Linked DNA regions of Oryctolagus cuniculus. The protein of the gene in region 2 interacts with the protein of the main gene of each other region in a pairwise test. Links are inferred from orthologs where the notes say so. Each region holds a gene or a part of one and is shown on either strand. Other genes may lie near its edges.

Region 1 (5,414 bases), on a different chromosome or scaffold from region 2:
AGGTTTAGGGATATGGGGGTCTAAGTTTGATGAAAAGATAGGGATAGATTTATTTACTCAATACATTCAGTATGTCCTTTGTGTCTACTGATGCCTGGCCAGATCATGAACTAAGGCACTGGTTCAATCATGCTGTTCCCTTTGCTCCGGGCAGCTTCTGGTCCAGCAGGACAGATGGAAACCAGTGTAACAAACGCCCACCATAGGTTTTAGGCCCAGCCCGTGGCTTGTTGCTGATTCTGTTAGGTAGGAAGTTAGATATGAGCTTATGTGTGTGTAACAGGCCTAAAGAGAAGACTTCTATGTCCAGCATATGCATCTGCATCTCAAAGTCATCCTGATAATGTTTCCGGTATTCACATCCTGCCCTGCCCCCTTCTGCCCCCTGCTACCTGATAACCTGCCAGGTGGGGGGGGGGGGTCCCCCGCCCCTTCTGCCTGACAAATCTTCCACAATCTCCCAGATGCAGCTCAGTATCTGCATTTCAAACACCCTGCTCAGGATCCCCATTCTCCAGGGGTCTTGCTCACCCTTCCTCTAAACTCAGGATGGTGCCAGCTAGCCTTCCTCCAGTCTGATACCTTCAGGGGAAAACTCAGAAGTTTTTCTATTTACATCCAAAAAGCCCTTTGTTCCAAGAGGAGCAGAGGTGGGGAAGCAAGACCCCTCTCCTTAAAAACCCCTGGCCTCAACTGGACTGCGCGCTCAGCCCTCTGCCTCTCTGCTGAGCCGCCGACCTGCCTGGCCAGGTGTAATCTCTCCACTCAACCATGTAACCTGGCTCCTTCCCCCCGTCCAAGCGACTGCACTGTCTCTCAGGTCCCGTCCGGAGAGGTGCCCATCCGTTCTTGCGGATGTCCCTACCCTAATAAACTTCGCTACTTCTACTTTCCACTACTCTGTCTCATGCCTGAATTCTTTCTTGCACGAAGAACCCTGCCATTCTCCAGTAATAATTCCACTCATTAAACTATTCCAAAATCCTCAGAACAATCTCCCAAGGTTAAAGCCTTCCATGGAAGCCTGCTCTACAGAGTGTACACACCTGTGTGGGGCTTACAACAAAGACCAGTTCCCGTGACTGACCCCCACTCCCGAGGAGGTGATTTGGAAATCAGTAGGCGAGGGTGTCATCCTGCTCTTGGGAAATGTGTTGGGGATTTGGTCAAATGCTGGCCTGGAACCCAAGGTTCCTGAGCCAGAGGACAGAGGTCATGACTGAGGATGCAATTTAACTGGAATCTTCCCTGACCTTACTCCCATGGGCAAGGACACAGGCTTTAAGCATATTAGAGAGAGGCACTGAGCAGGGCCTTGCCGCAGGGTCCCTTAAAAGCTCCCAACAGGAAGCCTTCCATGCCATTCATGTGTCATACCCTCCTCCAGTGCAAACCTGGAAATGTTTAACTGGGGAAGGGAGTCCGAGAACAATGACAGTGAAGCCATTCACATGCCTCCGGGCCTTTAAAGGAAAAGTGCTGACAGAGGCAGGGTGGGAGTCTGTTCCCAGAAATGTCCCACATCGGGAGCACGAGGCTGGAGGCACTCGTGTGGAGACAACGAGGCGTCTGTGCCTGCGCCAAATGGTATATAAAAAACAGAACTTGCCAAGAATAGCCACAGTCCTGTTCCCCAAAACCGGGAACCCAAACGAATCTCCTCAAAGCTTTGCAGGACGGGAGCACGCAAGCCAACTGAGCGCAGAAGCAGGTGCCAGGGGCCAGACGTCCCCTTCGTCCACGCCCACAACTTCCTCCTGGGTGCTCACGTCACACAGGTGACCTAGAGTCGACCCAGAGGAAACCCGGACCTCCCCCACGCCCGCCGCACCGGATGCGGGCTGCCCGGCAGCTCGCAGCACTCACAACACCTGCAGTCTCCCACCCGAGTTGCCAGCCCTCCCCGTCGCCATGGCGCCGCCCGCGCCACGCAGCCCCGCCCCTTCCTCGCGACGTGGCCCCGCCCACCGCCGAACCCGGAAGCGGGAGGCTCGAGCCCGCTGAGCCAAGGTTCCGGAGGAGGAGGGAGCGCGACGGCCGAGCTCGCCGAGCCGCGCGCCCCGCCCCTCGGAGGCTGGCCTCCTGCGCGCGCCCCCGCTGCCGGCGGCCCCTGTGGGTCCCGAGCGCTCCCGGCCCCGGCCCGCTCCCGGGCCCAGCCGCCTCCACGGCCCGCCCCAGTGCTGGAGCAAGGAGCTGCCTAGGGCAGGAGGGCCGGGGACGTGGGGGCGGCCACGGCAGGTGAGGGCGGGCAAGGCCCTGGGCCGCGGGGCTGTGGGGGTGTGGCGTGTGTCGGGGCTGTGGGTGGTGGGTGTGTAGCGTGCGCAGCTGCCTCGGCCGGATGTGACTTTGTGAGTGTGAGTGTGATCCCGAGTGGGCCGGTCCATGTGACCATGCACGTGATCGCAGACCCGTGCGCGAGGGAGGTGTTTGTCCTGAGGCCGAGCCTGGGCTCGTGGCGGGGGTGGGCGGTGTGCCTGGGACCCTACCTTTGTGTGGCTGTCACCGTTGGGAGTGGGAGGCCTTGGAGTGGACAGAAGGCTTCCCGGGGACAGACGCCTGCAGACCCATCCTGGTGCTGCGCCGCAGAGCCCAGGAACTTTTCTGTTTTTCCCAGATAACTTTTAAGAACTCTGAACAAAGGCCACTTATTGTGGAGATTGTCCCTCGGCCTGAAAGTGACAGATGCCTTTGTCGTTGCTGATTTTCGGGCCAGGTAGACAGGGAATCAGGAGTCACAGGGCCTCTCCCCTGTTCCTGGGGAGTTACAAGTTAGACACTCTCGCTGTGTCTTTGTCTCCTGGAATGGTCCAGCTCCTATGGGCTGGGCCTGAGGGGTGTGTCCAGCGTTCCAAAAGCTTTTATATACCAAGAGCACAGGAGGAGCTGTCAGAGAAGAGATGTCAGGGAGGCAGCTTTCCCTCCCAAGAGGTTTGGCGATGATGAAATAGATTCCTGATGAGAAGCAGAGATCTTAAAAAAAAAAGGGGGGGGTGTCTGTGTACTGATGGGGTGAGGGATGGAGGCGTGTGTTAAAAAGCTCAGAACTCCATGCTGTAGTGCTTGTTTTTTTTGTTTGTTTTTGACAGGCAGAGTGGATAGTGTGAGAGAGAGAGAAAGGTCTTCCTTTACCGTTGGTTCACCCTCCAATTGCCACCACGGCTGGCACGCTGCGGCCGGCGCACCGCGCTGATCTGAAGCCAGGAGCCAGGTGCTTCTCCTGGTCTCCCATGGGGTGCAGGGCCCAAGCACTTGGGCCATCCTCCACTGCCCTCCCGGGCCACAGCAGAGAGCTGTCTTGGAAGAGGGGTAACTGGGACAGAATCCAGCACCCCGACTGGGACTAGAACCCGGTGTGCTGGTGCCGCAGGCGGAGGATTAGCCTACTGAGCCGCGGCGCCGGCCATGTAGTGCTTGGTTTTGCTGGTATTAATCGGGACAGGTCGCCCGCATGTAGAACAGCCATAGATTGAGATAAAGGATCAGAGACCTTGGACTAGCACAGCCGGGTGTGTGGTTGCAACACTTGTAAAGGCAGCTTCGTGGGCTGTAAACTGGCAGAGTGTGAGGGCCCCCAAGACAAGCTCGCACCCCGACCTGGCAGTGTGACTGTGCAGCAGCTCCAGGCCAGCGAGGACGGGGTCCCGGACACCCGGTGCCCTTAGGGGAGAGTGAGGCTGTCATCGCCGAAGCCTTTCCCTGCCAGCCAGAGCAGGTGCGTTCGTTTCTGTGAAAAACTCAGTCATGGGCGATGGAATCCGTGTTGCGCTCACCGTCCACATTCTTTCTGCCTTAATCCTGACCCGTTTGGTCACCATCTCAGCCAGCCTTCTTCGCCGTCTTGGAAAGTGTGCCCCTCGATGGATGAAAGAGAGCCAGGGGAACAGACCTTCCTTGTCAGACTGCTCAGCGGCTGTCCCTTGCGGAAGTGAGCTTTTCTTCACCTGGACGTCAGTTGGTCAATTGCAGCATTTGGTATCTGTCTCCCCTTTCATGTACTGCCAGACTAGCACAAGTGTTAAAATCACTTGTCGCCACAAAAATGTAGTCCCAGCTGAGTGCAGTCGCTCGGTCCGGCAAGGTTAGTTATAACTTGTTGTAATCGGGCGGTGGCCGCGAATTCTCCTGAGGACTGTTGGTAAGGAGCATCTTCCCACCTGCTGCTCTGGAGAGAAGTGGATGAGTGAGTGAGTCGGTGGGCTGTGTGAGAGTATGTGGATATGTGAGGTAGTTTGGTTTGCGCCCTGCAGCTGATTCCAAAACTGAATATTGTGTTCTACCCCTGGTTTGATGACTAGAAGCAATCTTTCAAGCTTTAAAAGATGAAGTATTTAGGGGATATGAGAATGTGGCCTGTCTGTCCAGGGAGAAAGTATTCCAGAATTAACTGTGTGGTTGTTCTTTCTGTTAAAAGTAGTAACCAGCTTAGAGGAAGGCTGTAGTTAAAATGGCTTAGTATTTGTTTGTTTGAGAGAGACAGAGAGCGAGCTTCCATCCACTGGTTAACTTCCTGAATGCCACAAGCTACTGGAGCTGGGCCAAGGTGAAGCCCGGAGCCAGGAACACAATCCAGACCTCTCACATGGGTGGCAGTAACCCCGTTACTTGAGCCGTCACCGCTGCCCCCCAGGGTCTGCATTGGTGGGAACCTGGAGTCAGGAACCAGAGCCGGGAAGTGCACCAGTGGGGGCACGTGGCTGTCTTACCCACTGGGTAATAGCCTGCCCCTATTTTTTTTTTAACATGTTAGTATTTAAGATAACATAGATGCACACAAAAAGATTGTCTTTATTCCAGTGTGAATAATTACGTCTATACACACTTTGAGCGTAAGACTGGCAATTTGTTAGTACTTCAGGCAAATTACAATTTTCACACTTTTCTAAAAGTGCCGTGTTAGCTTTGAGAGACTGTTACTCCAGTGTCAGGGTCGTGAAGAGTCTACGTTGGCTGTGTCCCTGGGGTTCACTCTAGTAACCCCACAGGTAACAGTGGAGGCTCCTGTGTCCTGTGTTGCTGAGGGAGCAGGCCTGGTTGGCCCACAAGGAGGAAGGAGCTCCTTCGACTTTGGGATCCCCTGCTGCTGGCCGGTCCTTGGTCAGCCCAGGCTGGCCCCTGAGTAGCGGACATGGTACAGATCAGCAGGCGAGTCCTCCCACACAGAGGAGCGGGATTCCTCGTGTGTCAGTAAGAGTCTGCAGCAGGGAACTATAATTCCAGGTTCCTCTTGGGACGTAACAATGGCTGAGCACACCTGAAGATGCCCATCCAGTCCAGAGCTCCCAGACGCCAATGCTGGGAGGAACTCTAGGATGACCTTGCTCCTTCTCCTTGGGGTGTAGTCATTCACTTGCTCAGCGGGTAACGCCTGCTCCGTACCAAGCACTGTCCTGCGCTTTTCAGGGCACCGTGGTGAA
Region 2 (3,995 bases):
ATGTCACAAAATTTCAGACCTGGAAGATTACTTCCAAATCTTGTCTGACCATCTCATGAATAAACTATGGAGAGTAAAGGAAATAAAAGGTTTTTCAAGATGAAATCAATTTTTAGAAGTAAAGCCTTTGCTCAACTGCCTTATTTGGTTAAGAAAAAAAAGAGTTGTCAGTTCTTTGCAATCCCCAACTCCTTGAGGGGGCTCTAAAATCAGGCCCAGTCTGTCCAGTGATGCATGTCTTAGAGGCCTCAGTTGACCCTGGCTATGAGAAAATCCTGAAACTGTATACCTGTCAATAAAAGTTTCTATTCTTTTTGCCACTTTTAATGAAATTAAAAAAAAAATATATATGAGAGGCAGAATTAGAGGTTTTCCCATCTGCCAGTTCACTCCCCAAATGGCCTCAATAGCTGGAACTGAACCAATCCAAAGCCAGGAGCTGCTTCCGGGTCTCCCACATGGGTGCAGGGGCCCAAGGACTTGGGCCATCTTCCACTGTTTTCCAGGCACATTAGCAGGTAGCTGGATCAGAAGTAGAGCAGCTGGGAATCAAACCGGTTCTCATATGTGATGTTGGCATTGCAGGCGGTGGCTTCACCCTTACACCACAGCACTGGCCCTGCCCCCACTGCATTTTTAACAAACACTAATTTACTTATGCACTAGTTACCATTTTAGACGCCTTACAAATGTTAACTATTTCTCTTAACCTTAGGAGGGTAGAAGCGATATTTTTGGTACCTGAAACCTAGTTTCTGTAGTAACACTCTGCCTCGTTATTGCTTATCAGATGCCTGAGATGTTAATGTTTGAATTATTTAGTTCAGATATCTTCAAGCATTTAGACTTGGTAACTTTAAGGTTATAGCTAATTCTCATAGTACCTTTTCAGTCTTCGCATTTAAAAACTAAATTTTGTAAGATATAAATGATGTTAGAGATCTGAAGGTAGTGTGTCTTTGGCACATTCCCTGATCTCAGAAAACAGAATTAACCACTTGTTAGTGTGCTCCAGGGAAAAATGGGTCAAATCTACTAATTGTTTAATTGGGATTTTGAAATTTTGAACTGAGACTTCAAAGGGAAATATTTTAATGTACATCAAATTTTGATAGTAGGTTGGCATTTAGATGGCATTCTTACATTAGAAAACTTAATTTTTATTTGAATTTTTTTACAGTTTGCAGTGTTGATGTGGGTATTCACCTACGTTGGTGCCTTGTTCAATGGTCTGACTCTTCTGATTTTGGGTAAGTTGATAAAAGCACCAGCATGAAAAATGGTAGAGAAAGAACAGATATGAGAAAACAGGCATTTTAGTAGAAAATAATCTTATAGGGAGATTGTGATCTTTCTATAAATTCCGATACGGATACTCAGTTTACGGAAAGGCTGTTTAGCTCCTGGAGACTGCTGCAACTACCACAATAAACAGATAAAAGGTGGCCTTAGCTGATGGGGCAGTCATACAGCTAACCAGGGGCACCTGTAGTAAAACGTTGTGTTTCCTCTTTCAGCTCTGATCTCACTCTTCAGTGTTCCTGTTATTTATGAACGGCATCAGGTAATTTCTTACCTGTTGATTGCAGAATGCAGTGCTCATCCTATTACATAGCAGTACTGGTTTTTTAAGCCTTTAATTTGTGAATCCATAGTAATGGTTAATACAATTCTATAGCAATAGAAGTTCTCTTACAACTCCTTTTATATCTCTCTTTTAGGCGCAGATAGATCATTATCTAGGACTTGCAAATAAGAATGTTAAAGATGCTATGGCTAAGTAAGTAGTTAAAATATATAAGTTTTGTTTTTTAAATAAAGATAAGGTATGCTGGATTTTGAGACTGGTGTTCCATTTTTTACATTGTAGGCATTGAATAGCAAATCGTCAGACTTTAAAGGGTAACATTGGAGCAAAGTATTTTTTTCTAACATTTGGATCATTAATTTCTAGTTTTACTAGATATATTTAAGACTTTACTTAAATCTAATTTTTGGAGCCAAGGTGGCAAAATTATAGCTTATAACATGTGGCAGCCTTAGTTTGTCCTTATATAAACTGAATAATAAATGAAAAATTATTGAAGGATGGCTTTTCAAGGGGCAGAAAACAAGATATTTACATTGACTGTTCCTCCTTTCTTTCTCATTTGTAGAATTCAAGCAAAAATCCCTGGATTGAAGCGCAAAGCTGAATGATAAACAATAGGAATTCATCTTTGAAAGGGGGGTGTTTATTTGCTTACATGGGGGAGGGTCAGGGAAGAATGAAACCTTGACATCACAGTGCAGCTTCACAGATCTTTATTTTTAGCAATGCACTGTTTGAGGAAAAATTACCTGTCTTGACTGCCATGTGTTCATCATCTTAAGTATTTGTAAGCTGCTATGTATGGATTTAAACCGTAATCATATTTGTTTTTCCTGTATGAGGCACTGATGAATAAAAAAAAGATCTGAGAAAGCTGTATATTACACTTGGTTGCAGGTAGTCTTGCTGTATTTTTGGAAAGTTGCCGAGAAAGTGGAGCTGGAAAAAATAACCCTTTTCACAGTTTGTGCGCTGTGTGTGGTCTGTGTAGATTGATGCAGATTTTCTGAAATGAAATGTTTAGACGAGAACATACCACTAAAGCAAGAATGAAAAAGCTTGCCTTTCTGATATGTTCTAGGTGTATTGTGAATTTTACTGTTATATTAATTGCCAATATAAGTAAATATAGATTATATATATCTATCTATATATAGTGTTTCACAAAGCTTAGCCCTTTCCCTTCCAGCTGTCCCCACAGTGCTTGATGTTTCAGAGTCATTGGTTACCATGTGTAGTTCCAAAGCACATAAGCTAGAAAAAGAAAATATATTTCTAGGAGCACTACCATCCTTTTTCAACATGAGACAATGCCATACACATAGAACTCTGACATAAACTTCATTGCACCGACTTACTTAGTTAATTTTGTCACAAACTCTGAATCTGTGGACTGAACCTAATGCTTCCAAAAATGTTGTTTGCAAATATCAAACATTGTTATGCAAGATATTATAAAATGGACTTATACCGTTGTGGTTTAAGCTGTACTGAACTAAATCTGTGGAATGCATTGTGAATTGTAAAAGCAAAGTATCAATAAAGCTTATAGACTCAAATGGATGTGGTATTTTGGTTTCGTGAAACTGCAGTAGATCAAAAGTGTACACAACTGGTAGACTTTGCTTCAACCAGTGAGTGGTTCCTTGTATTTGTGGAAAGATTTTCGGCTGATGGTGCAGGTGTGTTTACTTTGGATACTTTGAAAACAAAGAGCATGCTTACATAATCAAATTTATTTGACACATACCAAAATGTTTTTACAGTAGGCATTTTATACAGTAAGTGAAAATAAATTCATGCACCAGTATTTAAACATATAGAATACAGTACAGATTTATGAACATACACAAAACCATATATAAATGCTTACAAATAAGATTTAAGAAGGTTTCTTGACTCACGGACACTATTGCTCTTTAAATATAGTTGTACATGTCATCAATCAATTCGTTGTTCTTCCATATGGTTATTTCAGCGCGAGACTGGATCAGTATGAAAGGTCAGTAGTACAATATATTTAGGCAGACATGATTATCACTCAGTGTCATCAGTAACATGGTTACAGAAAACAGGACTGCAGAAGGACTCTACTATGGGCCCCACAACCTATTAGTGGATTAATGTAAGGCATTAGTAAACTGGCATATAAAAATAGCTTAATGAGTCATCTAATCCATTAGAATGCTGAAGCACTTCTGTGGTAAAATGTTGATCTATTATTTACTGAAATGCTTCATTTTACCTTTTTTCTAAAATGGCAAATGGCCAGGAACTGAAGATCCAGAATTTTAGTTCATTGAATGGAAGGTGTCTGTGTGCCAGAACCACCAGTCCACTCACCAACTTTGCTTTCAGTGAGCTGCATCCACCCTGCCCTGTCATCAGCAACTGGGCTACGTGG
Region 3 (4,697 bases), on a different chromosome or scaffold from region 2:
GAGTCCCGGCTGCCCCGCGTCCCACGCGTGCGGAGTCCCGGCTGCCCCGCGTCCCACGCGTGCGGAGTCCTGGCTGCCCCTGTACCCGCGTCCCACGCGTGCGGAGTCCCAGCTGCCCCGCGTCCCACACGTGCGGAGTCCCGGCTGCCCCACGCGTCCCACGCGTGCGGAGTCCCGGCTGCCCCTGTGCCCGCGTCCCACGCGTGCGGAGCCCCACCTGCCCCTGCTCCCAGCCGGGCCCTGGCCCTGCTCCTCGCCCCGTGGGGTAGGGCTCTGGTTCCCGCCTGGCCAGCCCTGCCCTGCGGCCATCTGGGGTGTGCGCAGAGGGCGGTGGTGCGGAGCGGTGTGCGCTTCCCCCAGGCCCCGCCCTCAGCTCTACACCAGGTAACCTGGGTCTGGTTCATAATTCCTAAAGAATTCCCACTGCACCCCCTTCCTGCTGTCCTTAGAGAGCCTCACTATTAGTTTGTTTATCCTTGCAAATGAACTCAGCGTTTGTGAGCGAATGTGTGATTCCACCATCTGCCACTTACGGGAGTAGGCGTCGGTATTCCTGCGTTGCTTAGTGATTTTTAGGAACGAGGGAGAGACGGACAGCGGAGAGCTTCCGCGCACTGGCCACCCCCACGGTGCCCGCAGCCGGGTCCCGTGCTGGGGCAGAGACCCACCTGCTGGGTGCCTCCTCTGGTCGGCGGCGGCGGGAAGCTGGAGTCAGAGGCCGGAGCCGGGACTCAAACTCAGGCCTGAGGCATCTGGGCCACTAGCCCAAAAGGCTGCCCTCGCGGCTTTGTTCTTCGTTTACTAATAATAATAAAAGCTATACTTTACATAAAGATGCACAGACTTTTTTTTAATACAAGATTTATTTATTCGAGAGGCAGAGCTGGAGGGGGCAGCAGAGAGAGAGAGAGAGAGAGAGAGAGAGGTCTTCCATCTGCTGGTTCACTCCCCAAATGGGTGCAATGGCCGAGGCTGGCCAGGCCGAAGCCAGGAGCCTGGAATTCCGTCCGGGTCTCCCACGTGGGTGCAGGGGCCCGAGCGCTTGGGCCTCTTCTGCTGCTTTCCCAGGTGCATTAGCAGGGGGCGGGATCGGAAGCGGAGCAGCCAGACTTGGATTGGCGCTCGCATGGGACGCCGGTGCTGCACGCTGCGGCCTAACCCGCTGAGCCACAGCTCTGGCCCTAAGACGCGCAGACCCTAAGTGCGCGCGCGTGCAGATGAGCGGGCTGCTGGGAGTAAAGACCCCGACCGGGGTGGCAGCAGCAGCTCCGTCCGTCCGTGATGCTGTCGTCCGCAGAGGTCGGAGAGGCTTCTGGGAGCTGGCGGCGCACCTGCAGCGCCCGGCGGGCTCTTACCCTGCGCCGGGTGGGTGGCCCTTTAAGAGCTGGAAGGACTGAGGCACGTGGCAGAGGGACAGCGGGATGCCAGCGGCCAGGGGCCCTGACCCGAGGGGCAGCGGCACTCGGGATTGTCTGGGCCTCCTTAGCTTTTCCAGGAGATGGGCTGGCACGGCCACCTCTGGTCTCACCTGGCTCTTGCCCTTTTTTTTTTTTCAGTTCATCTCAAAGAAGGACCCTGAGGATGTGAAGGAGGTGAGGCTCGTGGGGAGCGGGGCCACCCCCACTTCCAGGTCTGGACAGAGTGAGCAGGCAGCAGCCGGCTCCTGGGGGGGAACGCGGGGGGCGCCAAGGGCGGAGTGGCGGCCGTGCCCTCTGCTCAGGCGTCCCTCAGCTGCGCGGGCGCGGGACACGGTGCACGGGAGGCTGCCCCCCACCCCGCAGGCTCGGGGCCAGCCCGTGTGTGTCCCCCACGGGCCCAGGCCAGCCTGCATGTGTCCCCTGCGTGTCCGGGCCAGCCTGTGTGTGTCCTCCGCAAAGCCGGGCCAGCCCGTGTGTGTCCCCTGTGGGCCCAGGCCAGCCCCTGTGTGCCCCCCGCGAGCTCGGGCCAGCCCGTGTGTGTCCCCCGCAAACCCGGGCCAGCCCATGTGTGTCCCCCGCGAGCCCGGGCCAGCCCGTGTGTGTCCCCAGCGAGCCTGGGCCAGCCCACATGTGTCCCCCGCGAGCCCGGGTCAGCCCACGTGTGTCACCCGTGGGCCCAGGCCAGCCCCTGTGTGTCACCCGTGGACCCAGGCCAGCCCCTGTGTGTCCCCCGCGGGCCCGGGCCAGCCTGCATGTGTCCCCCGCGAGCCCGGGCCAGCCCGTGTGTGTCCCCTGCGAGCCCGGGCCAGCCCACATGTGTCCCCCGCAAGCCCGGGTCAGCCCACGTGTGTCACCCGTGGGCCCAGGCCAGCCCCTGTGTGTCCCCCGCGGGCCCGGGCCAGCCTGCACGTGTCCCCTGCGAGCCCGGGCCAGCCCACGTGTGTCCCCTGCGAGCCCGGGCCAGCCCACGTGTGTCCCCCATGGGCCCGGGCCAGCCCCTGTCTGCCCCCCGTGGGCCCAGGCCAGCCTGTGTGTGTCACCCACGGGCCCAGGCCAGCCCATGTGTGTTCCCCGCAGACCCAGGCCAGCCCCTGTCTGTCCCCCGCGAGCCCGGGCCAGCCCGCGTGTGTCCCCGCAGGTGGTCGTCTGGAAGCGGTACAGCGACTTCCGCAAGCTGCACGGAGACCTGGCCTACACCCACCGCAACCTCTTCCGCCGTCTCGAGGAGTTCCCCGCCTTCCCCCCGGCCCAGGTGTTTGGTGAGTGTGCCAGGACTTGAACCAGCGCCCACGTGGGATGCCGGTGTCGCGCGGTGGTTTAACCCCCTGAGCCGCAGCACCAGCCGCTCGTGTTCTGTCTCTGCTGGGCAGTGCTGGTCTGTGTGCATCCAGGTCCCCTGACGCCGGGGGGATGAGATGTTTGGTCACAGCTGGTGAGGGCTCGTTGCCGGCAGGTCATGCCAGGGTGGCGCAGCTTATGCCCCCGGCAGCACAGGGCAGAGCAGGGGCCTGTGACAAAGGGGCAGCTTGCTGTGTGACCCTGGGTGGGTCACTTTCCCCCTCTGTGCATGGAGGCTTTGTTTCTCATCGGGGATACAGTATCCAGGACAGAAACTGTTTCTCTCTCGTTCTCCGTCTGAGCGCAGCTGGTAGTGGGTGCTCAGGAGACATCTGGCGGATGAGTGGGGAAGTTTGTCCCCCTGGGAAGCCTCAGGGAGGCTCGTGGGGAGGAGGAGCTGGGCGGGCCCTGGGGTCACCGCCGCTCTGCCCCCTCCCCGTCCTGGGGCGCTGCAGGCCGCTTCGAAGCCTCGGTCATCGAGGAGCGGCGGAAGGGGGCGGAGGACCTGCTTCGGTTCACAGTGCACATCCCTGCGCTCAACAACAGCCCCCAGCTCAAGGAGTTCTTCCGGGTACGCTGCCCTGCCCTGCCCTGCCCTGCCCTGCCCCGCCCCGCCCCCAGGCACCTGCCCACCAGGCCACGCCGCCCCGCCCTGCCCTGCCCCGCCCCGCCCCCAGGCACCTGCCCACCAGGCCACGCTGCCCCGCCCCGCCCCACCCCGCCCCCAGGCACCAGCCCACCAGGCCACGCTGCCATGCCCTGCCCCACCCCCAGGCACCTGCCCACCAGGCCATGCTGCCATGCCCTGCCCCGCCCCCAGGCACCTGCCCAGCAGGCCACGCTGCCCCGCCCTGCCCCGCCCCCAGGCACCTGCCCAGCAGGCCATGCTGCCATGCCCTGCCCCGCCCCCAGGCACCTGCCCAGCAGGCCACGCTGCCCCGCCCTGCCCCGCCCCCAGGCACCTGCCCAGCAGGCCATGCCGCCAACTCTGCCAGGCTGGTCTCTCCCGCAGGGTGGCGAGGTGGCACGGCCCTGTGAGGCGTCCAGGGACCTGCACATCCTGCCTCCGCCACTGATCCCCACCCCGCCCCCTGACGAGCCCCGGCTGCCCCAGCCGCTCCCCGCCGAGAGGAGGGGCCTCGAGGAGTCGGAAGTGCCAGGTACCGGCCGAAGGCTGGGCGCCGGAGTGGGCAGACAAGGTGGGCGGGGGTGGACGTGGGGGTCCACACCCACCCCCCAGCCCTAACCGTCTCCCTGCTGAGGGACTCTGGACAGGTCATCTTCATTCTCAGCTTCTCCATCTGTAAAATGGGCACAAACCCTTGAGGGACTTGGTGAGGGGCGGCTCCCTGGCAGAGCTGGGCCGCAGCTCAGCGCAGCTGTCCCTGTGCCCCGTGGTCTCTGCTCAGCAGACCCTGCGCCGTCCAGCCCCGCCCAGGAGGCCCTGGATCTCCTCTTCAGCTGTGGCAGCCCCCAGGAGACGTCGGGGACCCCCACCCGGGGCCCACTCACCGAGGCCGACCTCGCCCTCTTCGACCCCTTCTCCAAGGAAGGTAACGGATGGGGACGGCCAGAGCCGGGGTGTCTGGGGCCGAGGCTGGTTCACTTTCTGGGGCTGTAACAGGGGCCTAAGGTGGGCACTGAGGAAGCGAGCCGATTTCACTCACGGTGTCGGCAGCTGCAGGTCCGAGACAGGGCGGCCCCGTGTGTTTGGCCCCAGTCAGGGCCTTGTGGCAGATGGTGTTATGGTATGACCGACAGGCATAACGGGAAAGCCACCTTGCCATGCCGACATCCCATATGGGCATCGGTTCGAGTCCCGGCTGCTCCACTTCCAATCCAGCTTCCTGCTGTGGCCTGGGAAAGCAGTGGAGGATGGCCCAAGTGCTTGGGCCCCTGCACCTGTGTGGGAGACCTGGAAGAAGCTCCTGGCTCCTGGCT
Region 4 (5,466 bases), on a different chromosome or scaffold from region 2:
TTGACTTTATGTGAGTACTCCCCATGCTCAAGTTTGAAAGCTCATTGAAGACAGGACGAACAAAGTATTTTGGGGGGTCCTTCCTAAATTCTGTGGATAATAGCAAATATACAGCAGATGGTCAGTAGATATTCATGGAACAAAAATGGAACATTCTACAGAAGAACCAAGATAGAGCAAGCAAGAGAAAGCAGGAAGGAAAGACCATTTCAAGACCTAGCACGAAGTTAATGTTAGGGGCCAGCGCTGTGGTGCAGCGGGTTAACGCCCTGGCCTTGAAGTACCGGCATCCCATTTGGGCACTGGTTTGAGACCTGGCTGCTCCACTTCCAATCCAACTCTCTGCTGTGGCCTGGGAAAGCAGTGGAAGATGGCCCAAGTCCTTGGGCCCTGCACCCGCATGGGAGACCCGGAAGAAACTCCTGGCTTCAGATCAGCGCTGTGCTGCTCCAGCCATTGCAGCCAGTTGGGGAGTGAACCAGCAGATGGAAGACCTCTCTCTCTCTCTCTCTCTCTGCCTCTCCTCTCTCTGTGTAACTCTGACTTTCAAATAAATAAATAAATCTTTTTTTTTAAATAAAGTTAATGTAAATTATGGTCTTAAGAGACCACCCAGACCACATGAGTTTTAGCATCGTTTCTCATCTAGCACTTAAATATGTTGTTAAAGGTAGGCCTGTGTCAGAATGGGTGGCTAACTGGCTCGGTTATCAGATTGGCTCAGATTTCCCTTTGTCATCCCAGGGACACTTCGCTGCATTATGGACAGATGCAGTGCCAGGGTAAGATATCTATCATGAGGTTATTTGGGGGAAGATCCAGCCAAGAGGTTGTTTCACCCTCCCCCCACACCCCTGACCTTAAGGACTGTCAAGGGCAGATGTGCCCAGCAGCCCGATCTCGGTTTTCTCTGGTCTGCTTTTCCCCTCCATGGCCGCCAGGCTGACCGCCTCACCCTTCTTGAGGTCGCATCTTTGCAGGATTCGCAGACCCCGCGATTACGCTTCGGGCCATCCATTGCTGCTTTAGCAACAAAAAGCCTGCAGCCTTGATTTTTCTTCTGTCCAGGACACACTCCCCCACCCCCTTAAAGGGATTATGATCCTTTCAAACATTTTGACCAGATGTAAGGAGAAGGCTTTGAATTTGGCAATCCAGTCCAGGAGAAACAAACAAAAATAACAAAATGAAATATTAATAAACTAAATGGTTTCAAATACACTTTCTGCTACGGAGCCCTTTTAGGCTATGCGTAGAATTCAGTTATGCGTATTTCTAAATGCCCCATTAATCTCACACGCATCCCCACCCCCATAGTCGCGGGCAGTATGCTGTCTGCCGGCTGTTCTTTCTCCATCAGCTCAGCTTTTTCTTGTCCCCTCTCTAAAATGCATCTTTTCGGAGGAAAAGGCCGCCTCAGACCCGGCGTGGACCCCCTGCTTAGGACAGTAACGAGGTAAGAATACGAAGCAGGTTCCGCCGCTGCACTGCGGTGTGACCGGAATGAGTAATGGTGGTCCACGCTGCAGAGCATCGCTCCGCCTCATCGGACGGGGAGCCCGGGCCGTCCCCGCGTCGTGCAGAGGGGGTGCACCTTGCAGAATGCGCCCACGCCGCCCCGCGGGGTCCACCCCGCAGCGGCAGCGTCAGACAAAGACCCCGCTCTGGAATGCACGGGGAAAGATGGTTCTAGCTAACACATGCACCAAGAGACCCCCCCATTGCCCAAACATCACATACGCCAGCCCTAAAAAACAAGTCACCGATGGCGCCGCGAGCGACGATCACCGGGCAGCAACCCGCCAGCTCCCGCGGCAGCGGTGGGCGGAGCTTGGTGCTTGGCCACGCCCTCTGCGTCTAGTCCCAAGGGGCTGCTCCCCACCTCGCGCGCGCGCCCGCCGCGGCGCGAGACAGGTTCTGCCCCCCTCCTTCCCCGCGGGAGCGCGGAGGGACAGCTCTCGCGCCTGCGCGCTGCGCCGCTGCGCGCCTCCGCTCGGCCGCCGCCCGCCCCCGCCGCCCGCCGGCGGGGCCTTTGTGCGCAGGCGCGCTCGCGCTCCCGCCCTCTAGCTGCGCTCGGTTGAGTCAGTCAGTCTGTCGGAGTCCGTCCGCGGAGCAGGCGTGTGGCGGAGACTTCGCAGAGCCGAGCGCCCGATTCTTCGGTTTCCCCTCCCTCGCTCCCGCCCCGCGTCTCTCTTCGCCCCTCTCCGGCCCTTGCTCGCGCAGCCATGGCAGAGTCGTCGGCGGCCACTCAGTCCCCGTCCGTCTCCTCGTCGTCCTCCGGGGCCGAGCCGTCCGCGCCCGGCGGTGGCGGGAGCCCCGGAGCCTGCCCCGCCCTGGGGACGAAGAGCTGCGGCTCCTCCTGTGCGGGTGAGGCGCGCGGGGGGCCCCCGCCCCAGGGCGGGCGAGCGGGGCCGGGGGGCTGGGGGGCCGGGGGAGGCTCCCGCCCGCCCCCCGGGGACGAACGTTTGGAAAACGGGCAAAGGGGGAGGGGAGCGCAAGGTCGTGCGGGCGGTGAGGAAATAACGGGGTGTGAGGAAAACAGGTTGGGGGCGGGGAGCGAGTGGGCGTTCACGCCGCGGCCCGGCAGGTGGGGGGGGCGCGAGGAAGAGGAGGAGTGCGCGGCGCGGGGGGCGGACCGCGTTCGGGGAGGCCGACGAGCCCCCCGCGGACCCGGGGTGTCTGCAGGGGGGACGGCTAGCAGGGTCGAGGGGGTCGGGGCGGGGGGAGCAGGGATGGGTTAGGATTGTCTGCGGGCGCGGAGGTAAGACGGTTTGCACGGCACGCCCGCAGACAGGTGTTGACAGAAGCAGACACGCATGACGGTCCTCGACATTAAAAATATTTCTGTTTGCCCGTGGGGGAGGATGGGGAGGTCGAACGGCAGCCTTGGAGCCCGTGCCTCGGCGGTTCTCGGCGAGGCCGGGGCTGCGGGGTGAGGAGAATGGAGCCGGGAGCGAGCTGCCGAGGGTCCAAGATGGATGCGGGGCCGCCTCTGCATCGCCGCCCGCCCGCCCGTCGCTGGCGCGCGTGGGGGTGGGGACGCGCGGGCGGTCGCTCATATTCCGGAGGATAATAGAGTCGTGCCGAGCCTCGGACGCGTTTCGGTGTGGTGTTTTCTGTGGGCTATTGTTGATGGCCCTATAACAAAGGGGGGCTTACTACAGGAACGGGGGAGGGGGAGGACCTTCAGACAAAGCAGGGGCTGGGTGAAGCCCCTTCTCCCGTCGCTGTGAACCACCGGGTGGGGGGAGGCTGCCGGCGGCTCGGTTCCCAGGGTACGCGCGCCGGCCTGCTCGGGGGAGCGGCCTGGCCAGCTCCCCTCGTGCTGGGATCCGCACTGCAGATGCTTTCCTGAGAAACAGTGTGCACCGCCGACAGGTGCTGGTTCTTAAAGGAACGGAGCCCGGCGGGGGCGGGGGCGGGGTGGGAGGAGGAGGGGATGTGTGCACAGATAATTTTGCTGTCTTATTTAGTTGCATTACAGGATTTCGAGAGGTTTTAGCATGCCTCATCGTCTCCTTCCGTGGATTCTTAGATTGATCATTCTGAAAGCTGCATTTCCGATCTTAGCGTTACATACGTTGTCTGCGGGGTTTTCTAACAATGCATTTCCACCTATCTGAGGCTTCTGTGCCCTGCTGGGTTTGCCAGCGTGATAGTGGGCATTTCGACAGAGACCCTGTCAGAGGAAGCTTCTGCAGATAAAGGAATGAGGCAGCAAATTTGGAACCCTTGTTGCCTTGAAACCACCAGCGTTCCGCCTCCAAATTTTTGTGTTCTGGGCGAAGGCCCAGAGGAACGGTTTCCTTATAACTTAGAACTCGTTCTTTTAGCTTTAATCACTTGTCACTGCTTACTGTTTGCTTGTCCTTTTTATGTATACCTTTGCTTTTTCTTGTTCTTCAGTTTTTGATTCAGATCTAAGTTTTAGGAATTGGCCATTTGTGCTCAAGTGTTGACTAGTGATTCTAGTTAGCAGGCACTAAAATTTCATTCTAACGTTTATAGCCAAATGGTAGCATGATTTGAGAAGCAACCTTTCTATTCCTTTAATGTGCTCTTACGAAAGAATTGGCTCCCTGAGTAGGCCAGTGAAATCAGACTATTCTGTTCACAGCTATGCCTAACGTACCACCAACACCAAGCAGACCCTAAATTGGCAACACAAATTTGATGATATAACATGTACTTCTGTTTGCACGTATTTCTGTTATTATTTACGCTAGTTGTGATTTTTATTTATTTCTTATTGATTTTGTTTTTGTTTCTGTTTTTCTCAGAGGAATGCTTTATATATTTATGACAAGTGAAAGAGAAAGTGGGAAGGCATAGTTCCCTTAAAAAACTGCCTCCCTTATTTATTTTTTATATTTTTTTATGATAGTGGAAAAGATGCTGAAATTGGATGTTTTGCCAAAAGTACTGGGATTTGTATTCTGACGTAGTGTTCCAAGTACATGGGTTGGCATTAGATTTTCCTAATACTGTTAAATTCCTCAGTATTCATCTATTCATTATTTCTTAGCAAAATTTTTGTCACAGAATTTTTATTTTTTTTTTAAGATTTACTTATTTATTTGAAAGGCAGAGTTAGAGGCAAAGGCAGAGAGAGAAGTCTTCCATCCACTGGTTCACTCCCCAAATGGCCACAACTGCCAGAGCTGGGCTGATCCGAAGCCAGGAGCTTCTTCTGGGTCTCCCATATGGGTGCAGGGGCCTAAGGACTTGGGCCATCTTCTACTGCTTTCCCAGGCCATAGCAGAGAGCTGGATTGGAAGTGGAGCAGCCAGGACTAGAACCAGTGCCCATATGGGATGCCGGTGCTGCAGTCAGCAGCTTTACCTGCTATGCCACAGCACCGGCACTAGATTTTTTTTTTTAAGACTTATTTATTTATTTTTAAAGATCTATTTATTTATTTGAAAGTCAGAGCTACACACACACACACACACACAGAGGTATTCCATCTGCTGGTTCACTCCCCAATTGGCTGCTGTGCTGATCCAAAGCCAGGAGCCAGGAGCTTCTTCCTGGTCTCCCACGTGGGTGCAGGGGCCCAAGCACTTGGGCCATCTTCCACTGCTTTCCCAGGCCACAGCAGAGAGCTAGATTGGAAGTGGAGCAGCCGGGTCTCGAACCAGCGCCCATATGGGATGCTGCCGCTTCAGGCCATGGCATTAACCTGCTGCGCCACAGCGCTGGCCCCAAGCCCTAGAATTTTTATTTCTTAGATCAGCTGTGGACACTGTCACTATTTGCTCTTAGAACAGCGTATGATATATAGTGACACTTGATAAGTTCTTGTTGAATGAAGCATCAAATTTATGAGCTAGAAAGAAATACCTGGACACTTAAATATTCTGTCTTAAACTGTCCACTGCAAATATGTATTAATATTGTCTAGAAAGCATGCATACAGTTTGGTGGGCCCAGTGCAAGCCTTCGTTGTCAGGTCACTACTTGACT
Region 5 (4,800 bases), on a different chromosome or scaffold from region 2:
GCCCAGAACTCAATCTGGGTCTCCCACAGGGGTAGCAGGGACCCAACCATGTGAACCATCACCTGCTACCTCCCAGGATTCATGTTAGCAGTAACTCAGAACTGGGTGCAGGTCTGTGACTCAAACTCAGGCACTCCGATAAGGGATGTGCATATTCCAGGCAGCCTAGCCAAATGCCCATATCTGCAAAATACCTATATTAATGTGTGATTGGATGGTTGACACCTACTCCTGGCTACGTAGACTTATAAAACCAACCATCACAGAGGGTAAGCCAAAGTCTTTGTATATTGCAGGTGATGGGAGGGAAGAGTTGGGAGTATGAAAGGAAGTAAGTGGCTAAAGGGATTTTATTTCACCAAAGTAGGATACGGAGTAAACAAGTTGAAGAATTTCTCTGCTAAAATAAATATCGATATGACACAGCTATGACCTATTATGTCTAAGAAGCCAGGATATATTTCTCTGATAATAAGCAATTACTTTCATGCTTCTGTGTGAGCTGACAGGATCCTCTCTCATTTAAAGCCTTGGGGAGACTGCTTTATGTAAAGGTGGACCATCTTTCCCTTTTTTCCTCCTTGCAATTTGACTTGTACCCCAATCTGCATTTCCACTTCATTTCTTGCTTCTCTGTCATGGAAAATGCTTTGTTACATTAATACAGTTCTTATGTTTTTCAGTTATGAATAGCTTTTCAAGGCTTAATGTAGCTGTTGAAAATTCCCTTATTACTGATCTAGGTATTATCACTGTAGGAGTTAAAGCCATGAGACAATTTTATGGGGGTAATTTCTTGGCAAAGTTAGATTTTGTGCTGAAATCCTGCTGGGTGCTACACATGTTGATGGATGGCCCACTGTTTAATAGGACATTTTACTGTTCATGTATGTGAGGAATGGGTGTGCTAATTAGAGGCTTGGAAGAAAATTCTGCTTTATATTGTAGGTTTCTGCATGTGGAGTTTCCCTTGTTCTGTCATTTTCTGCGGCCTTTTTTGTAGTGTGTTTGCCAAATAGCTCAGAGCATGAATGTAAAAATGTTGTGGTGTCACAGGAGAGTGTTTCCAAGGGAGCTGATCTGAATTCTTCACAGTGCACACTTCTCAGTGGCCTGCTGTGCAGTCCCCATTCAGGAGTCTGTAGCTGTGTCCCGGGGACCAGCTCAGCCTGAAGATGTTTTCATGTGGTCTGCATAGGGTGATGATAGATTTTCAAGTCTGACTGCTTATATAAATGGGTCATATATTCTCTGGTAAACCACTGTCACCCTCACTCTGTGTTGGGGCACACCTGGCTGCTTCAAAACTTGTTGCCTGCAGACGTTAAAGTGATTTGCAGGTGTAGTGAGAGCTCACCAGCAGACAAAGTAGAGGCAGTGGACGCATGCAGAGCTTATGTTCTAGCTGAGGTTCCAAAAGGTTAACGGGAGAAATGATTGTTATGTACAGTATGCACATGAGAACCGAGCTTATGACATACTTTGCTATCCTCGTCCCGACTGTATTTATAATTTCCTCTCATCCTGGGATATTGGCTGCTGGAGGCCAAAGAGGTGAGACAGCCTCTGCTGGTCTTGGAGTGTGGGGGCCACATCAAGGGGAAGGCTACCGATTAGGAAGACCCCATCAGCTGTTCCTTGCCTTCTGATTGCAACTTAGACACTGAGGTGGAAGAGTAAGACCAACAGGCTGTGTGTGTGGTAGAGAGAGAGAGAGAGAGAGAGAGACTATAATACTAATGTCAGAGTAAAACTTTGATGTAGAGTCAGAAGGCTCAGGATTGTTGAGGCTTTGGTGGACAGGATGGAGGGTTTGAATACTGCTGTGGACAGAAATGCATCACTACAGGTTCACGAACCAGTGAGACCACGGGTGGCAATGAGTTAAGAAGCAGTAGAAAATGGGATGTGACAGGTTAGAAGAGGCCGTTTCAAACCAGAGATGTAAGCAAGGCTAACAATTATGGAATGTCTACTGGGATCCAGGTGATATGAACTTACACAGCCACAATAGCCCTATGGTGGCTTTTTATCCCTTTTTAGGTAAGAAATCAGAGGTTTAGAGTTTCAATATTGTTCAAGTTCATAAAGCAGAGAGGATTTAAACTCAGATTATCTGAATCCAAGTCCAGTGTTCTCTCCATAGATCAAGTAAAGAACATTTGTTTTCCTTTGAGAGAGAGAGAGAGAGAGAGAGAGAGAAGGTGAGCACTTCCACCCAATGGTTTACTCCAGACCTGCCAACAGCACAGACTGAGTTGTGCTATACTGAAATTGGAAGCTAGAAATTCAGTCCAGCCTTTGCACTTGGGTTCAGGCTGAGACCCAACCCACTTGAGCCATCACTGCGGCCCCCAGGATCTGCACTAGCAGGAAGCTCAAGTCAGAAGCAGAGCCGTGAGCCAAACCAAAGCACTACAATATGGGATGCAGGTGTCTTAACCACGGGCCAAACGCCTGGCCCGAGTAAAGGACTTTATAACTCGGAGAACCACTGAAGACTTTTGAGCAGAGAATAATACAGAGAACAAAAGGAAAAGTGACACAGGAGACTGTGTGATCTCCATATGACTGCTTTTGCTTTCTGGATCTTTCCCCGAAGCCTTACGGTCATTAACTCCAGCATAATGGTAATGTGTTTATTTTATCCTTCTGATATAAATATACATTCTTTGTGTTCACAGTATTACAAAGCATTAAATCTTCTTGTACCCCACATAAACTGCTAGTGACCTTTTTGATTATATAGATCAAATTTATCCACTGTATTGATGGAGTTATACTTCTGCAGACATTATTGGAATAAGTTTTATTTGTATGGTCTTAATCATTGCAGTGACTGAATTTCTGTAGGTAAGAAAAAATGTAAAAATAAAAGATTTTGAAATAGTTTTTTTTTTTTATTGAAAATCTAGATTTGGATGGAGCCAGCCAGCTAAGTTATCCTGAGAATTTGTCATATGGTGAAGATTCCCCCATCACTGCCCGCTCACAGTCCTCATGTGAAACGGGGGATACCAGGCGCCATGGTGCATCTAGCCAAGAGACATGCGTGGCCCGAAGCCCCAGTCGCCAGTCCGCAGAGGGGAGCTTGGAGAGGGACAGAGCTTTCAATACTCAGGACCTGGAGGATCCCTACGCCACCGACAGCTCTTCCATGTGGAGTCCAGAGGCGAGTTGTTTGTTCTGCATTCTGTCCTCACACTCACTGGTTCCACTTGTCCTCTCCATCCTCGTCCCCTTCTCCCCTGAATTTCTCCAGAAAGGAAACATCCCCTTGAAAACCAAAGACCTAACAAAAGCTCTTTCACTTGAAATAGCTTTCTGTTCCCATGACCCAAGCCCCATGTGTGTTGATAAAAGAATTGTAAATAAATTAATTTCATTCAAGATGGAAAACAAAGAGTGGTGAGGAAAAGGAAAGCATAACAAGAATGTGGCAGGATAGACTCAACTTAGAACTACACTTAGAACTTCAACAGCTGTTGGGCTTTTCTCCTTCTAAAGACTTTCCTAGCAGCATTTTGTAAAGAGGGTTCTTTGGTTATTTAGGGAAACTGGTTTATTTCCTTCAGGGTTTCAAGTGAAGTGGAGTTTATTTGTGTTTGTCACAACTCTTGAGTTTTAATGTTAAAATTCTTTTAAAATTATTTGAAAAATAATGATAGAGACAGACAGACACACATATGCACACACAGGAGAAAGGAGCAGAGGCAGGGAGAGGCAGAGAGAGGCAGAGGGTTGGAGGAGGAAAGCAGAGACAGAGAGAAAGAGAACACTCCCATCCACTGGTTCACTCCCCAGATACCCACAGCAGCCAGGGCTGGGCCAGGGTGAAGCTGGGAGCTGGGGATTCAATGCACGTCTTCCATGTGGATGTCAGGAGCCCAACCACTTGAGCCATTACCACTTCTTCCCAGTGTGTGCCTTAGTAGGAATGTGCAAATTGAACCCAGTTATTCCAATACAGGGCATAGCTATCTTAACTGACATTACAGCAGCTAGGGCAAAAACCAGCACTTATGATTATTTGACTCTGAAAATTATTTGAAAGAACTAAAACAAAGTGATTCTCCACAAATTGTGATGAAGATTTGTTACTGTGAGTACATTTGTAGGCTTTGAGTTGGGTTGACATGGAGATGGCCATCGATGTTGCTTTTTGGAATAAAAGTCTCATAAATGTCTTCTAAATTTCTTTCCATTGACAATGCAGCCCAGTATATGACTCACCATCCAGAGATATGCCCGGGGTAATGATGGAAGTTGCTACCAGTTCTTGAGCAGTCAGTACATGCTGGGCACTGTAATAACATTGATTTATCTTATAGGCATTTCTGGTTATTCTACATCAAAATGTTTCATCCTTTTATGATTCCATCACATTGGAAGGCATTAAATAGTGCTGTTCAATACCCAATTTGAAATTAGTTTTGAGGAAATAAATCATGGAGGTGTATCATTTGTGGGGGTGGAGGAAGGAGAAGAAGGGTGAAGGGGCTTTCTTGGCATCAGTCTGAAAAAAACATCCAGGATGGGTCTTTTGTTAGAGTCTGCCTGAACTGCAACACTTGAAACGCTCAGGGAAAAGAAAAAATATTCCAGAAAATTCACACTCTGAAGCTTTACTGCTGCCACCTTAGCTGTGCCTGGAGTGTGTAAGGTGGCGTACGAATGGGCGTTCGTGCCCCCGTGTGGGTGTTTCTGCTGAGAACCAGAAATGGTAAGCCAGATATGTGGCTCATGTCTTGTGAAAAGCAGCCCTTCATACGGAGACAGCAAACCTTGTCAGCTTTGTGA
Region 6 (4,800 bases), on a different chromosome or scaffold from region 2:
AGAGTTACAGAGAGGCAAAGAGAGAGAGGTCTTCCATCCACTGGTTCACTCCCCAAATGGTCACAACATCCAGAGCTGTGCCAATACAGAACCAGGAGCCAGGAGCTTCTTCCTGGTCTCCCACATGGGTGCAGGGGCCCAAGGACTTGGGCCATCTTCTGTTGCTTTCCCAGGCCACAGCAGAGAGCTGGCTAGGAAGTGGAGCAGCCGGGACTTGAACTGGCGCCCATATGGGATGCCGGCACTGCAGGCGTGGCAGCTTCACCTGCTGTACCACAGCGCCTGCTCCAGTGCCCTGTTCTTTACACCTTCCTTCACAGGTAACCCGCTTAGAGTAAGACTTGCTTCTGGGGAGCATTTCCTTCTGCCTCAGCTTGGAATAAACTCGGTGTTCTTAACTCCCTTGTTTCTCACCTGAAATCCCATATTCAAACCTAAAGAATTGTAAGATTGGGATCTAAAGAGGACAAAACTTTATCCCAACATAATGTGATACAGACTGATGAATGAAGGCAACACTACTGTGCTTACTTTTGAGACACATTTTGTATGTATTTGTAACTTAGAATCGTTCCTTATCATCCTGACCCTCTGAAAGCAGTTGCATTTTCTAATGAAGACTTCATGAAATTATAGAATGTACTGGAGCGCCTCACATGGATGGCATCCCTTGCTATAGAAAACAGTGCTCCAGCCAGCGCCGCAGCTCACTTGGCTAATCCTCCGCCTACAGCACTAGCACCCCGGGTTCTAGTCCCGGTTGGGGCGCCGGTTCTGTCCCGGTTGCCCCTCTTCCAGGCCAGCTCTCTGCTGTGGGCTGGGAGTGCAGTGGAGGATGGCCCAAGTGCTTGGGCCCTGCACCCCATGGGAGACCAGGAGGAAGCACCTGGCTCCTGCCTTCGGTTCAGCGCAGCGGGCCGGCCGCAGCGACCATTTGGGGAGTGAACCAACAGAAGGAAGACCTCTCTCTCTCTCATTGTCTTAACTCTGCCTGTCAAAAAAAACAAGGAAACAAAACCGTGCTCCAGGGTGAGAGCTGGAGAGCTGCGGCCTGACACCCAGTGTGTGCTTACTTCAGAGCCGGCTTGGACTAGGTCCTTGTTCTGCAGTCCTGATCCACACAGTAGTCTTGAGGGAAATAATAGTGAACTTCAGGAGTAAATTTTTAACTAGAAGTATAATGTACATAATTTCAACCTACTTTCTGCCTACTATGATGTATTTATTATGACATTGTTTTGTGTATACAGTATTTATCACCTCAGCTCTATTTAAAAACATGTTTCAAACTGGGAAGCAAATGTTGCAAAGAATGCACCTGTGAAATGTTACCGATAACTGTGATTGAAGATTCTAGGAGTGTTCAATATGTGTTCAGTTTTAGTTGCTTATAGAAGCTACAAAAGTGTAATTTGTGAATGTTAAAGGCATTTAAATTTCAGTAAAAGAAGCTTATTCAGAAATTTAGAAAGATGAGCTAAAAGGTGATTACGTGTAAAAGCTTGAATTAAAGAATTAGCACAATAGAGTTGGGGCTTGGTTATTTGTAAGTTAGTTCCTCTTATAATAACATCAAGGTTTTTCAATGAAATAAGGGAAAGTGCATCACCTTTGTGTCAGATCTCTAACATATAACTGGGTTTCTGGTATCCCTGCATACTCTGAAGTGGAGGAACACTTGAGCTTCTGACCCCTTTGTGTGTCTCTGCCCTTAGCGTACCATGGTTTTCCACTTTAAGACATCATCTCTGTACTTTAAAGTAGAGGATAGAAGCTTTGATTTCTCAGAAAATGCTGATTCCGGTCACTTGGTGCACATGAGGCCAGGCTGTTGCTTGAGTAAAAGCATCTTGCATTTTTTCCTCTTTTCATTAACCTGAGTGTCTGGAATGTGGACTGAACTCTGGCAGCCATGTAAAACGCCTGCTCACTAACCACTGTGCGTGTGGTTGCTCAGCTTTCTAATCGCACCCTTTCTGAACTGAAGTAGACAGTACTGTTCTGTCTTAGAGCGTGACATACCTGCAGAATGTGGATCCTCACCGCTTTCTTTTTCCTTCCAAGGTTGAAGAAATGGTGCACAACCACATGACTTACTCATTGCAGGATGTAGGTGGCGACGCCAATTGGCAGCTGGTTGTAGAAGAAGGAGAGATGAAGGTAATCCCCACTGAACGTGACAGGAGCTCTGTTGGGTTCTCACTATTATTGCTATGAATGGGGACAGCATCTTCAAATCACTTCAAAACAAGTTACTACCATCAACGAAGAACCAGATATTAGAAATAAAATGTCTCTGTGCTTCTCCGGTTTCACTTGTACTTACTTCTTTGTGATTATCGTATGCATCTATCACCAGACCATGTTGTTTTGCCTAGGTCATAGAAAGAATTGGAGAATTTAGATAGGAACAGATCACATTTAGCTGATGGCCCTTGATTTGCATGTTTAGTTGTTTTTTTTTAAGTACACTGAATGTTGTGCCTAAGTTTCACTTTCTCTCCCTGTTGATCTATACCTATACCTACCTTTTTCTTTTTTTCTCACTGCATTTTTAAAAAAGGGTTGGTTTTTTTTTTTTTTTTTTCTTAATTTATTTTAAAGGCAGAGACAAAAATATCTTGCATTCACTGGTTCATTCCCCAAATGCCAGAACAGCCAGAGCTGTGCCAGTGCAGAGCCAGCAGCTAGGAACTCAGTCTGGGCCTCTTCTGTGGGTAGTGAGGACCCAGGTAATTGAGCGTCATCTTCTGTCTCCCACAGCGGTCATTAACAGGAAACTGGATTGGAGGCAGAGCCAGGGCTTGAGCCCAGGCACTTTAATTTGGGATGCAGATGTCCCACGCTGCATCCTAACTGCTGTGCCACATGCCTGCCCTTGCACCTGTTTCGATGTTTGAACATTGCTCAACTAGTCTTGTTCACAATCACTAAGCACAAGACACAGAATAGGAGCCAGGAATAGGAGCTGCAGAGATGGACTGGATAGCAGTAGCAGCTTGAACTCCGGGATGCCTCAGTCCCAAGACATTGAAGCTAAAGATCTAGAGAGATTTAATCAGACTCCTTCCAAGCTGAAGCTTTAGTTGAGTAAAGGGGATATTGATATTTAAAAGAGCATTGCTGACTCCATCTGATGATGTGTTAGAGGAAGAGTACAGATGAGTGGTGAAGAAAATTAGGAAAGAAAAACCTCTGCAGTTTCAAGTCTTTAGATTGCTTGACATTGAGGAGAAATATCTGAGCTGTATCTGGAGATGGAAACGAGACATTTTAACAAAAAGAAAAGGACCAATAAAGTGAAAGCAAATCATGTGTTCAGGGTTTTTGTATAGACAAGTTATCCTGGCAAATGAGATACAGTATGAATACAGGGATTTCCTCTTGAGTAGGGAAGAAGATTGACATGGAGGAGGCAAAGGAGACACTCTGATAAGCTGGTTGGAAAAGGGGCTTTAGCTCAGCTGTTGAAAGGTCTTGCTAATTGGTCAGTGCAGAGCTGACCTCAGGAGCAAGTCCAGAGCAGCCCAGGATGCGTGCTCTTTTCTCCTATACTTATCTTTTGGCCTGGGAGACCTGGATGGAGTTTTGGGCTCTTGGCTTCACCTTGGCCCAGCCCTGGCTGTGCAGGCATTTGGGCAGTAAACCAGCACACAGAAGATCTCTCTTTGTCTCTTGATGCTCTCTCTGTTTCTGTCACCATGCCTTTCAAATAAATAAAAATGAATGACTTTTTTTTTAATCTAAAACATAGCTTAAAGACAGACTTTCTAGTCTCTAGGGATTTGCTTTTTATCTTTCAAACAGTTTTAAATACGCCCTCTTTAGGTGTACAGAAGAGAAGTAGAAGAAAATGGAATCGTTCTGGATCCTTTGAAAGCTACCCATGCGGTTAGAGGTGTCACAGGACATGAGGTCTGCAGTTACTTCTGGAATGTTGATGTTCGCAATGACTGGGAAAGTAAGCTGCTGTTACTTGTGTATTTCAACCTAATGATTATTTTGAATTTCATATCAAGTTGAACCTAGTTTTCTGTATCTGAACTGTAGTTTATAAGGTCAGTGTAGAAAATAGTCCAGATAGGGGCCGGCACTGTGGCATTGCAAGTTAAGCTGCGACCTGCAGTGCTGGCATTCCATATAGGCACTGGTTGAGTCCTGGCTGCTTCACTTCTGATCTGGCTCTCTGCTGATGCACCTGGGAAAGCAGTGGAGGATGGCCCAAGTATTGGGGCCCCTTCCATCCTTGTGGGTGACCCAGAGGAAGCTTCTGGCTTTTGGCTTTGTCCTGGCCCAGAGCTGGCCAGTGTGGCCATTAGGGGAGTGAACCAGTGGATGGAAGACCTCTCTCTCACTGTCTCTGTCTTTTTGTCTGTCTCATTTAACTCTGCATTTCAAATAAATAAATATTAACAACAGAAAGTATGTATACACACACACACACACACCCCTAACATTTAAATAGAGCTTTTCACTGTGACAGTGTTCCTTAGGGTAGTGTATCCTGTGCTCTGATGCCTCTCCTTGTTCGTCTTCATGGTAGATTACTATCAGTACTATTTCTCACTCTACATGCACATAAGGTAAGACTCCCATAGGTCAAGTGACTTGTCAAAGGCACAGAATCAGTTAGTGGAAAAGACAGAACTGAAACAGAATGTTTATCCTTTATCACACTCGCCTAAACAGTTTTGATTTCATAGTAAATGAATCATACTATGGTTAGCTTGGAGTTACTATTAGTTTCTGTGTTCCCCTTCAGCACCAAATTTTGTAAATTAAGAAATTTCTCAGCCTCCT

The links.
Region 1: the proteins of RTN4 (region 2) and SPG21 interact in a two-hybrid assay, tested with the Homo sapiens proteins (2 studies listed by BioGRID and IntAct). The two-hybrid records come from large-scale screens. The link is inferred for Oryctolagus cuniculus from reciprocal best matches to the Homo sapiens genes RTN4 and SPG21.
Region 3: the proteins of RTN4 (region 2) and SNX15 interact in binary tests that used the Homo sapiens proteins (3 or more experiments, as listed by UniProt). The two-hybrid records come from large-scale screens. The link is inferred for Oryctolagus cuniculus from reciprocal best matches to the Homo sapiens genes RTN4 and SNX15.
Region 4: the proteins of RTN4 (region 2) and RTN3 interact in binary tests that used the Homo sapiens proteins (3 or more experiments, as listed by UniProt). The link is inferred for Oryctolagus cuniculus from reciprocal best matches to the Homo sapiens genes RTN4 and RTN3.
Region 5: the proteins of RTN4 (region 2) and SYT16 interact in binary tests that used the Homo sapiens proteins (3 or more experiments, as listed by UniProt). The link is inferred for Oryctolagus cuniculus from reciprocal best matches to the Homo sapiens genes RTN4 and SYT16.
Region 6: the proteins of RTN4 (region 2) and CERT1 interact in binary tests that used the Homo sapiens proteins (3 or more experiments, as listed by UniProt). The link is inferred for Oryctolagus cuniculus from reciprocal best matches to the Homo sapiens genes RTN4 and CERT1.

Annotation. Positions count from the first base shown.
Region 1 is NC_091443.1:88,007,733-88,013,146, reverse strand, and holds the start of SPG21 (maspardin), read left to right. Parts: upstream 1-2,008; 5' UTR 2,009-2,238; intron 2,239-2,332; exon of another isoform or gene 2,333-2,354; intron 2,355-2,434; exon of another isoform or gene 2,435-4,135; intron 4,136-5,400; exon of another isoform or gene 5,401-5,414. UniProt on the Homo sapiens protein: May play a role as a negative regulatory factor in CD4-dependent T-cell activation.
Region 2 is NC_091433.1:147,596,719-147,600,713, forward strand, and holds the end of RTN4 (reticulon-4), read left to right. Parts: intron 1-1,180; coding exon 1,181-1,250; intron 1,251-1,517; coding exon 1,518-1,564; intron 1,565-1,721; coding exon 1,722-1,780; coding exon of another isoform or gene 1,781-1,784; intron 1,785-2,156; coding exon 2,157-2,199; 3' UTR 2,200-3,150; downstream 3,151-3,995. UniProt on the Homo sapiens protein: Required to induce the formation and stabilization of endoplasmic reticulum (ER) tubules. They regulate membrane morphogenesis in the ER by promoting tubular ER production.
Region 3 is NC_091432.1:6,511,789-6,516,485, reverse strand, and holds part of SNX15 (sorting nexin-15), read left to right. Parts: intron 1-1,556; coding exon 1,557-1,592; intron 1,593-2,556; coding exon 2,557-2,677; intron 2,678-3,211; coding exon 3,212-3,327; intron 3,328-3,768; coding exon 3,769-3,916; intron 3,917-4,048; coding exon 4,049-4,309; intron 4,310-4,697. UniProt on the Homo sapiens protein: May be involved in several stages of intracellular trafficking. Overexpression of SNX15 disrupts the normal trafficking of proteins from the plasma membrane to recycling endosomes or the TGN.
Region 4 is NC_091432.1:7,487,393-7,492,858, reverse strand, and holds the start of RTN3 (reticulon-3), read left to right. Parts: upstream 1-2,022; 5' UTR 2,023-2,225; coding exon 2,226-2,367; intron 2,368-5,466. UniProt on the Homo sapiens protein: May be involved in membrane trafficking in the early secretory pathway. Inhibits BACE1 activity and amyloid precursor protein processing. May induce caspase-8 cascade and apoptosis.
Region 5 is NC_091451.1:8,389,704-8,394,503, reverse strand, and holds part of SYT16 (synaptotagmin-16), read left to right. Parts: intron 1-2,915; coding exon 2,916-3,172; intron 3,173-4,800. UniProt on the Homo sapiens protein: May be involved in the trafficking and exocytosis of secretory vesicles in non-neuronal tissues. Is Ca(2+)-independent.
Region 6 is NC_091445.1:473,043-477,842, reverse strand, and holds part of CERT1 (ceramide transfer protein), read left to right. Parts: intron 1-2,064; coding exon 2,065-2,160; intron 2,161-3,828; coding exon 3,829-3,961; intron 3,962-4,800. UniProt on the Homo sapiens protein: Shelters ceramides and diacylglycerol lipids inside its START domain and mediates the intracellular trafficking of ceramides and diacylglycerol lipids in a non-vesicular manner.